Rattus norvegicus: one gene and its partner. The protein of the gene in region 1 purifies or fractionates together with the protein of each later gene. This does not show direct contact. Links are inferred from orthologs where the notes say so. Each region holds a gene or a part of one and is shown on either strand. Other genes may lie near its edges. The genes, in order: Lrfn4 and Nck2.

Region 1 (4,374 bases):
CCCTGCTACTGCTAGGTCTACCATCGATGCCTCTACTGGAAGCTCCACGGTGGTAGGAACAGGGCCAGAGACCACCAGGTTCCCACAGCAGGGTAACAACACACAACAAACTAGAATATGTGTGTATTTGGAGTGAATGGAAACTCTTTAGGGTTAGAAAAAGAAGTATCTGGCACCACCTCATATCACAGTTGACCGGACTAAAGAAAGATCCAAATTACTTTTCCAACAGCTGGGGTGTCCCAGCAACAAGCCAAGCAGAGGCTTCCAGCTGCAAGGACTTAAGCCCCTCAAGCTGCAAGGTTTCCTTAGGTGTGAACAGTACAGGCAACTAGCAGCCCTAGGTCTCCGTGAGAAAACCGTTTCTGTGGGTAAGGAACTTGCTCAGGGCTGTGCAGCTGTACCAGGCAGGACTAGAATCCAATCTCTTTCTCCCCCAGTTCCTGGCACCCACGCACTCCTTAGATTCAGGTACGGAGGGAGGGAAATAGGAAGAAGGGGCCCAGGTAGTCTGAGAGGAGGAGATGCCCCGCAGGAGGTGGTAACTTCCCATCCCAGCTAAGTGAACCATTCCTGGGAGACAAACAAGATACCCAACTTGGTTCTGAGTCCACCTCACATTTCTGACCGTTCGAACCACATTCCCTAGGAAGAGGCCCCTCTAGAAGAGGGGAGGCGGAGCTATGACACAGAGAGGACCACTGACGCACAGCTTCAAACAGCGTGCCACAGCCAGCCTGCTGGGAAACCGCGCAGCACAGACCAATCCAGCCAGAGGCGGAGGCCGGTTGGCTGGGGAGCGCCGGGCAGGGCGGGAGGGAGACCGAGGAGAGGAAGGAGGGGCGCGGCGGGGCGGGGCACGACGGCAGTCCCGTGGCCAAGCCCTCAGGCCCCACCCGCAGAAGCCCTGTTGGGGGCGCCACCCCAGCCCCCCACCCCCCAGGGTCCGGACCTGTGGGGGATTCTTCACGTGACGCGGTGATGCAGAACGGTTGTGACCTTCAGTGTGTATCTGCGAACGCGAGGGTCCCAGTAACAGTGCGGGTTTGCACCCGGCCCTGCCCGTGGGTGCGGGGACGTGTGGGTGTGTGGGCATATGTGGGCGTGTTGGGGAGGGTGCCCAGAGACATGTGACAAAGACCCGTCTCTGGGAGATGGTAAAGGGGCCTTAGAGCTGGCGCTTTGTCTGGTTGTCTGCAGAGCCGCGGCGCCCGCCTGAGCGGTTACAGGATGCTTGGGCGCCAGGGTGGCCGAGGGCGCGCGCGCCCGTGCCAGGGTGAGTGCGCTGCGGCAGCGCCTTGGGACAACGCGGAGGGCCTGGTCCGGCCTCGGGCGTGACTGGGCGCCACCCGTGGGCGCTGCAGTGGCCGCGTGTCCCCGTGACCTCCGGAACCCGGCTGGGGCCCGGCTGGATCCCTGTGCCCCTCCGGGTCCACCCTCCACGTGCGTGTTCGTGGCGCGCGTGTCCGTCAGCGCGCATCCGCCTGCCTGCCGCCGCCGCCACCGCGAACGGCGCGGAGAAAAGGTGCCGGGAGCCGAGAGAGCCGGGGCCGAGGGCCCGAGCGCCATGGGCCGGAGGGCGCGCGGCTGGCGGGCCCGGCCTCGCTCCCGCGAGAGAGCGGCCTGGAGTCGGCAGAGGCCGGCTGGGTCCGCGGGGAGGCCAGCCCGAGCCCCCTGAGCGACGGACACCAGGTGAGCCCCCCCTCCCCCGCCCCGACAGGGCTCAGAGGGAGGCCCGCCCGGGGAGGAGCCACAGTCCACGCCAGGGATTTGGGGGACGCCATCCTCAGCCACGAAGGGGAAGGCACGAAGGGGGGAGGGGGCTGGCCATTTCAGAGGATGCCAGGAGGAAGTTCCCGGACCCTCCCTGCTCTTGGCCCTCCTCCACTTCCTGCCTCATGCCTCACCTTGTTCCCAGTACCTGGACTCCCTTCAACTGCTTGGGAAATGTGACCTTTACTCTGGGGGGGCCTTAGTCTGCAGCCCCAGCCATCTTTCCTCCCTGGGGTCCTCCGTGAGCATCTTACCCAAATCTTCCCCAGTTCAGACTCTGGAAACTGGTTCCTGGGACTGTGCCCTGGGCACAAGTGGGCCCTTGCCCTAGCCCCACCTGTGCCTGGGGCTGCGGCCCTTTCCCACAGGGCACTCACCATGGCCCCGCCGCTCCTATTGCTGTTGCTGGCCAGTGGAGCCGCTGCTTGCCCGCTGCCCTGTGTGTGCCAGAACCTGTCGGAGTCGCTCAGCACCCTTTGTGCCCACCGAGGCCTGCTGTTTGTGCCACCCAACGTGGACAGGCGCACAGTTGAACTGCGCCTGGCTGACAACTTCATCCAGGCCCTGGGACCACCTGACTTCCGCAACATGACAGGGCTGGTGGACCTAACATTGTCTCGAAATGCCATCACCCGCATCGGGGCCCGCTCCTTTGGGGACCTGGAGAGCCTGCGCTCCTTGCACCTGGATGGCAACAGGCTGGTGGAACTGGGCAGCAGCAGCCTACGGGGGCCTGTCAACCTCCAGCACCTCATTCTTAGTGGCAATCAGCTGGGCCGAATCGCTCCTGGGGCCTTCGACGACTTCCTTGACAGTCTCGAGGACCTGGATGTGTCCTATAACAATCTCCGGCAGGTTCCCTGGGCTGGCATAGGCTCCATGCCTGCCCTGCATACCCTTAACCTGGACCATAACCTCATTGATGCGCTGCCCCCAGGTGTTTTTGCCCAGCTTAGCCAGCTCTCCCGCCTGGACCTGACCTCCAACCGCCTGGCCACCCTGGCACCTGATCCACTCTTCTCTCGGGGTCGGGATGCTGAGGCCTCACCTTCCCCTCTGGTGCTGAGTTTCAGCGGGAACCCACTGCACTGCAACTGTGAGCTGCTGTGGCTGCGGAGGCTGGCCCGGCCTGATGACCTGGAAACCTGCGCTTCTCCACCAACCCTGGCAGGCCGCTACTTCTGGGCAGTGCCTGAGGGAGAGTTCTCCTGTGAGCCTCCACTGATTGCCCGACACACACAGCGCCTGTGGGTGCTAGAAGGTCAGCGGGCCACTCTACGGTGCAGGGCTCTTGGTGACCCTGTACCTACCATGCACTGGGTTGGTCCTGATGACAGGCTGGTTGGCAACTCTTCTCGAGCCTGGGCTTTCCCCAACGGGACCCTAGAGATTGGGGTGACAGGCGCTGGAGATGCAGGAGCCTATACCTGCATTGCTACCAACCCTGCCGGTGAGGCCACAGCCCGAGTGGAGCTCCGGGTACTGGCCTTGCCCCATGGTGGGAACACCAGTGCTGAGGGGGGCCGTCCTGGGCCCTCGGACATTGCTGCCTCTGCTAGAACTGCTGCTGAAGGCGAGGGAACTTTAGAATCTGAACCAGCCGTGCAAGTGACAGAGGTGACTGCCACCTCTGGACTGGTGAGCTGGGGCCCAGGGCGGCCAGCTGACCCAGTGTGGATGTTCCAAATCCAGTACAACAGCAGCGAGGATGAGACCCTCATCTACCGGTGAGGATGGGCCTTGCACACTCCCTTCAGCCTGCTTTGTTCACTGTGCCTCCCTTCCTGCTGACCCTGTACCCCCAAGTTCTGCCTGTTCCCCCTCCAGGCCTGTGCCTGCTCCTCTACTTCTAAACTCTTGGAGTATGGCTTGGGCAGAGAAACGTGTGGCTGCTTTTTAAGGGGTCTCAGGTGAGGCTGTATGTGCCAGCCTTCCTGACCATCAGTGATAGCAGCTTGGGTGTCTGCTAAGGCACCTGACCCCCACCCCAGGGTATTTTTGCCTCTGCTTGGTTCCATTCCCCACCCCCAGCTCCTATTACCTGAGGCCTGTGTCAGTGCACACATCCATCCCTGCCCTGGCACTATTCTGCGTGTGTTGACAGGGCCTTATAGGCCTGAGGGGCTGTTCAGGGCAAACCTGAAAGAAGGGAATGGGGGCTGTACCCCACCCTGGGGCTCTGACCACCTGCCCTTGCCTACAGGATTGTACCAGCCTCCAGCCAACACTTCCTGCTGAAGCACCTGGTTCCTGGTGCTGACTACGACCTCTGCCTGCTGGCCCTGTCACCTGCTGCTGGGCCCTCCGACCTCACGGCCACTAGACTGCTGGGCTGTGCCCACTTCTCTACCCTACCAGCCACCCCCCTGTGCCATGCCCTACAGGCCCATGTGCTGGGCGGGACCCTGACTGTGGCAGTGGGAGGCGTCCTAGTGGCTGCCTTACTGGTCTTCACTGTGGCCTTGCTGGTTCGGGGCCGGGGAGCTGGGAATGGCCGCCTCCCACTCAAACTCAGCCATGTCCAATCCCAGACCAATGGTGGCACTAGCCCCATGCCCAAGAGCCACCCACCACGGAGCCCTCCACCCCGTCCCCAGCGCA
Region 2 (4,353 bases), on another chromosome or scaffold:
GTTCCCTCTTGGGCGGCTACCCAGGTCCTCGATGGAAATACCACCGTAACCCTAGTGTGGCACTGCTATGTCGACCTAAAGAGTATTTTTCATGGCCTGGAGCACTGAGAATCTCAGGAAGTCTACTTCAGAAGAAAGTGGGAGGAGGGGTGGGAATGTGGGTATGGTTCCCTAAAAAGACTCTACCATCACGTTCTCTGTGATTTGTCCAAAGTGAATTGTTGAAAAATAAAAAAAGTCTTTTTTAAAAATTGCACTATTCTGATGGCCTAAAGAAATGAATTATTTTCACCAGGGCTGCATACCTCTGATAGCTTGTTTTAAAAGACTGCTTTGACCTCCTCTGAGCCACCTAACTTACACATAACAGCACAAATGTTGTCTTTTTTTTTTTTCACTTATGCCCTTTGAAAACACCCTGAGAAGTGTTTCCATCACTCATTTTTAGGAAGGAGAAATAATTCTGAAGCAACATTTGAAGTCCCTCTGGATGGGAAAACTCATTTCCTAAGTCTCTAGTGGAAGCTTCCCAGTTCTTTTGTAAAGAAGAGTTAGCTTATGAGCTTCTCCCAACACTGTTCACTGCACTGTTCCGCACGTGGGACAAGCAGTCTTGAATTCTTCAGTCATTAAGGCTCATTCTGAACATCAGAAAATCATTTCCACAAGTCATGTCAGCCCCAGTGCACACTGCAAGCCAGTCACTTAGAAGCATATGTGCCCTACAGAGCAACCAAGTCTGGTCTTGCCAGGGCAAATTAAGCTAATGCAAGTGATCAAATAAAGACCTCCAGGTCGCTACGCAATCAGTGAGTCTCATGGCTGTTTTCAAGGGGTCCAGTCTGCTCCAACATTGGAAAGAGCTGGGGAGATTTAACAAGGATCAAAGCACATTTTCTCAAACACCTGGGCATTGCTGTTTGTCGGGAATGTTCAGTACCCCAACGTACATGACAGAGGTCAGGAATATGACAGGGTCAAAGAGAAAAGGAGGATGGAGACGGAAGCAAGGACTGCTGGGAAAAGCAAAACTGAAAGCCTGGAAAAGGACTGAAAACAGACGACCAGGAGCTGGAAACCACCTTTTATAAGCTCTACCCATTTTTATGAGGTCAGTTTCTCCACAAGTGGGCAAATCACCTATCAAGTGGCCAGAGCTCTCATAGCAACTTCCAATCCTGAAAAACGGGACTCTGTTCAAGCACATTTCAGAAGCTGAGAGCAAGACAGGCAGTAAGCTGTAACTCAAAACTTTACAGCTGCACAAAGTTCTCAATTCAGCTTCAGATCACTTCGACCTTTACTTTCTTCAGTCAAAACTACAGGAACCTACCAGGAGGTGAGAAAGTTTAAGGCGGGATTGTCCCTTGTGGTCACTTAGGAAAGACCCGAAGGTCTAAAACCTTAACTGTCTAAAGTGCACCTTCTCCATGTGTCCATTGGCTGCCTTCACTACATAAACCAGGCACAAGCACGAAAGTCCTGTTTCTAAGTCTGTATCTATAAACTTGGAAAGTGAATGGAGGGAGTGCCCACAGCGCAGTTCAGATGTTCTGATAAAGTAGTGACCTTTAGACTGGAAAACCACTGTTGCTAACTATACCAAAAAACCCAGGCTTGAAACACACCCAAAATTATTCTCATTCCTCTTCAAAATCCCAGCAGAAAAGCCTTCAGTGGGTGAGGAGCAGAGAAGTCTCCAAGGGAGGGTACCAGCAAGCCACGCCCACTGGTCAATGGGCTGTTTCTTTTTGGGTCAACCAAGGAGGCGGCCTGTGCACCTCCAGCCCAAACTCGGACCTGTTCACCACACACACAGATGCAAAGTTGGCAAGACCGGCCTTAAACCTGTTAGCAAAATAAGGAAAGTCAAATACGGAGGAAGCTGCCGACCTGAATGGGCTACGGTGACAGGGCCCATTCCACTTGGCGCCCAGCTGTGTTCCCAAGCTGTTCACAATACTACTGTTAAGTCACGTCTGCTATCCATTAGCCACCACCCGCGCACACCTTCCGGGAGAATCGTTGTTGTGTATAAATAAGTGTTTTCCAAATCAAACCCCTTCACACAATGCCAAGCTAAAAGTGCTCAAAAGGGAGGTGCCATCGGGACATTAAAAGTCACACATCAAATTCTTGCAGAACCACTTGCTTAAATCGCCCTGAATAAACTAAGGGGGCAGAACAACTGGGAAAAACTTTGGTTCAAGAGGTTTAAGTCTTGGAAATGCGGGACCGGGCGCAGGGACTGGAACCAGGCACAAAAGCGCCCTGAGCCGAGGCAAAGACCTCCTTTAGAGAACGTGACAGCAGCTTTGTGCCGGATCACGAAGTACAGTAAGTTCTCCCCGGCCATCGCAGCCTCCCGCTTCCTAGCGCTGTAGCCCTCGGATCCTAGGCTATTCTTCCCAGGCACGCGCGCCCGGCGACTCGACCAAGGTTCGGTCCCACGCCCGCCGGCAGGCCAGGGTTGCTTGTGTTCCCGAGGGCTTTCGGTCCTTGGTCCCCGTTGTCTGCCCGCGGAGGGCGCCCCACCCCCACGCCAGCCCGAGGCTGAGGGAGGCGAGGGCTCGCAGGAAGGTGTGTATCCGAGGTGCGGGTGCCCGGGGACGGCAGGCCGCGCCGGGGCCGAGGGCACTAGCCGGGTGCGCAGGGGTACGCGCTCCCTGGCCCTCCCAGGGCGGCCCCGGCCCGCCCACCCCTCTCTTCCAACTCTACCGACCGGCCCAAGTTTGCAGCCCCCGCCATCGCCTTACCTCGCTGCACAGTGCACGCCGAGGCCGGAGGGCAGCAGCGCTAGTCCCGGGGCGGCGGCCGCGCTGCGCCCGCCCAGATGCCGCTCTTTGTCTGCACCGCTCCCTCCTCCCGCCACCAAGCGGACGCAATTGGACCCGGCGGACCCTGCCGGCCCGGGAGCCCCGAGCCTGCCCGCCGCCGAGCCCACCCCACCACCACTGTCGCCGCCGCCGCCGCCCGCTCGGCCGCGCGCACCGGCCTGCGATCTGCGGCGGCGACCCTCCCGCGCAGCGCCCGCCTCCGCGCGCTCCCCGCCCGCGCTCCTCCCCGGCTGCCGTGACGCCGCCCAGGGGCCGGCCCATCCCGGCGCACGCGGGGCGGGGTACCCACCTGGGAGTCCCGGCCAGGCCTAGGGAAAGCGCCGCCTGCGGGCTTCAAGCCGTAACCCGTTCTAAATTGGAGTTGGGGGCACACGGGAGGGGCTGCAAGGGAGAATGAAGGGCCACTTCCAGCACACGAGACCCGGTGGTCTCCGCACCCCGGCTGTGCCTTGGATTCTTACAGCGATCTCCCTACCCCGCCTCCCCCCAAGCATTCCCACGGCACTCTCAGCCAAACAGGCCTGGTGTCTGTCAGAAAAGTGACTTACGTGAAAATGTCACTTCCTCCCAGTAATTGCTTGTGGGCATTTTCTTTATTTATTTGCCTTGCATTTATTTACTTTCCCATCCAGACACTTTTTTACTCCACCCCACCCCCGGCCCCCCAGGCGGGACCACTTCCTAGTGGGGGGGGGGAGGAGAGGAAACCCGACCTCTGCTGCCTCCGCAGCGCCCTGGCCAGCTTCTTAAAGCCCCGGAATTCTTTAGTACAGGAGGCTGAGAAAGCTTTAGAAGGAAGTCTCTCTCTCCCAGCCTTGAGTAATAGCTAACCTGTAAGCAAACTTGGAAAGCTAGAACCCTAGAGCGAGGGGAAGGAACACATATACCTTACACACCAGAATCCAGATGTTCCTTCTCCAAGCTCCTTCACTCATGATTCCCCAAAGGAAACACTGATATTCAAATGAATTCAGTTTTCCGGTTGGACAACTCACGTTTATGTTAATGAGATTCTACCCTATCTCTTGGCTCCTCCTTATTAAGGAAGGCAGCAGCAATACACCTTAAGTGACCAGGCAGCTGCCTCCCTCCCTAAAGGAAGTTCCCAGGCATAAGTAATCTGAGGAAGCTTGGCACCATCGTCATAGCAGCCTTTGACTGTAGGCTACCTGAACTGTGTCACCTTACATAAGTCTTTCACAACTTCCTCAGCTTTAACACATGAGATGTTTACCTGCCCTCTATGTAAAGTAGCTGGCATGTAGCCGATACTAGGGCATTGGGAGGAATCAGATACAAAATTAGCATACCCAACAGTCTCTTCCAGTCAGAGACGCTAACTTCATCCTTTGATGCAGACCTCATCTTGTTACTATCTAGCTTTGCAACAATGAAAGCAGAGCTCTAATCAATAGTTTAGCCCCACTTAAAATTAGTTTATGCTAAATAAGTAGGACAACAGGGACAGGGTCTTTAAGCGTTTGCTTTGAATGGCAGCCTCAGACTCCTCTCACTG

What was found.
Region 2: the proteins of Lrfn4 (region 1) and Nck2 purify together in Homo sapiens (co-immunoprecipitation; 3 studies listed by BioGRID and IntAct, counting the BioPlex papers as one, with this or other methods). This does not show direct contact. The link is inferred for Rattus norvegicus from reciprocal best matches to the Homo sapiens genes LRFN4 and NCK2.

Annotation. Positions count from the first base shown.
Region 1 is NC_086019.1:211,318,431-211,322,804, reverse strand, and holds the start of Lrfn4 (leucine-rich repeat and fibronectin type-III domain-containing protein 4 precursor), read left to right. Parts: upstream 1-1,532; 5' UTR 1,533-1,692; intron 1,693-2,141; 5' UTR 2,142-2,151; coding exon 2,152-3,500; intron 3,501-3,976; coding exon 3,977-4,374. UniProt on the Homo sapiens protein: Promotes neurite outgrowth in hippocampal neurons. May play a role in redistributing DLG4 to the cell periphery.
Region 2 is NC_086027.1:53,205,469-53,209,821, reverse strand, and holds the start of Nck2 (cytoplasmic protein NCK2), read right to left. Parts: upstream 2,844-4,353; 5' UTR 2,757-2,843; intron 1-2,756. UniProt on the Homo sapiens protein: Adapter protein which associates with tyrosine-phosphorylated growth factor receptors or their cellular substrates. Maintains low levels of EIF2S1 phosphorylation by promoting its dephosphorylation by PP1.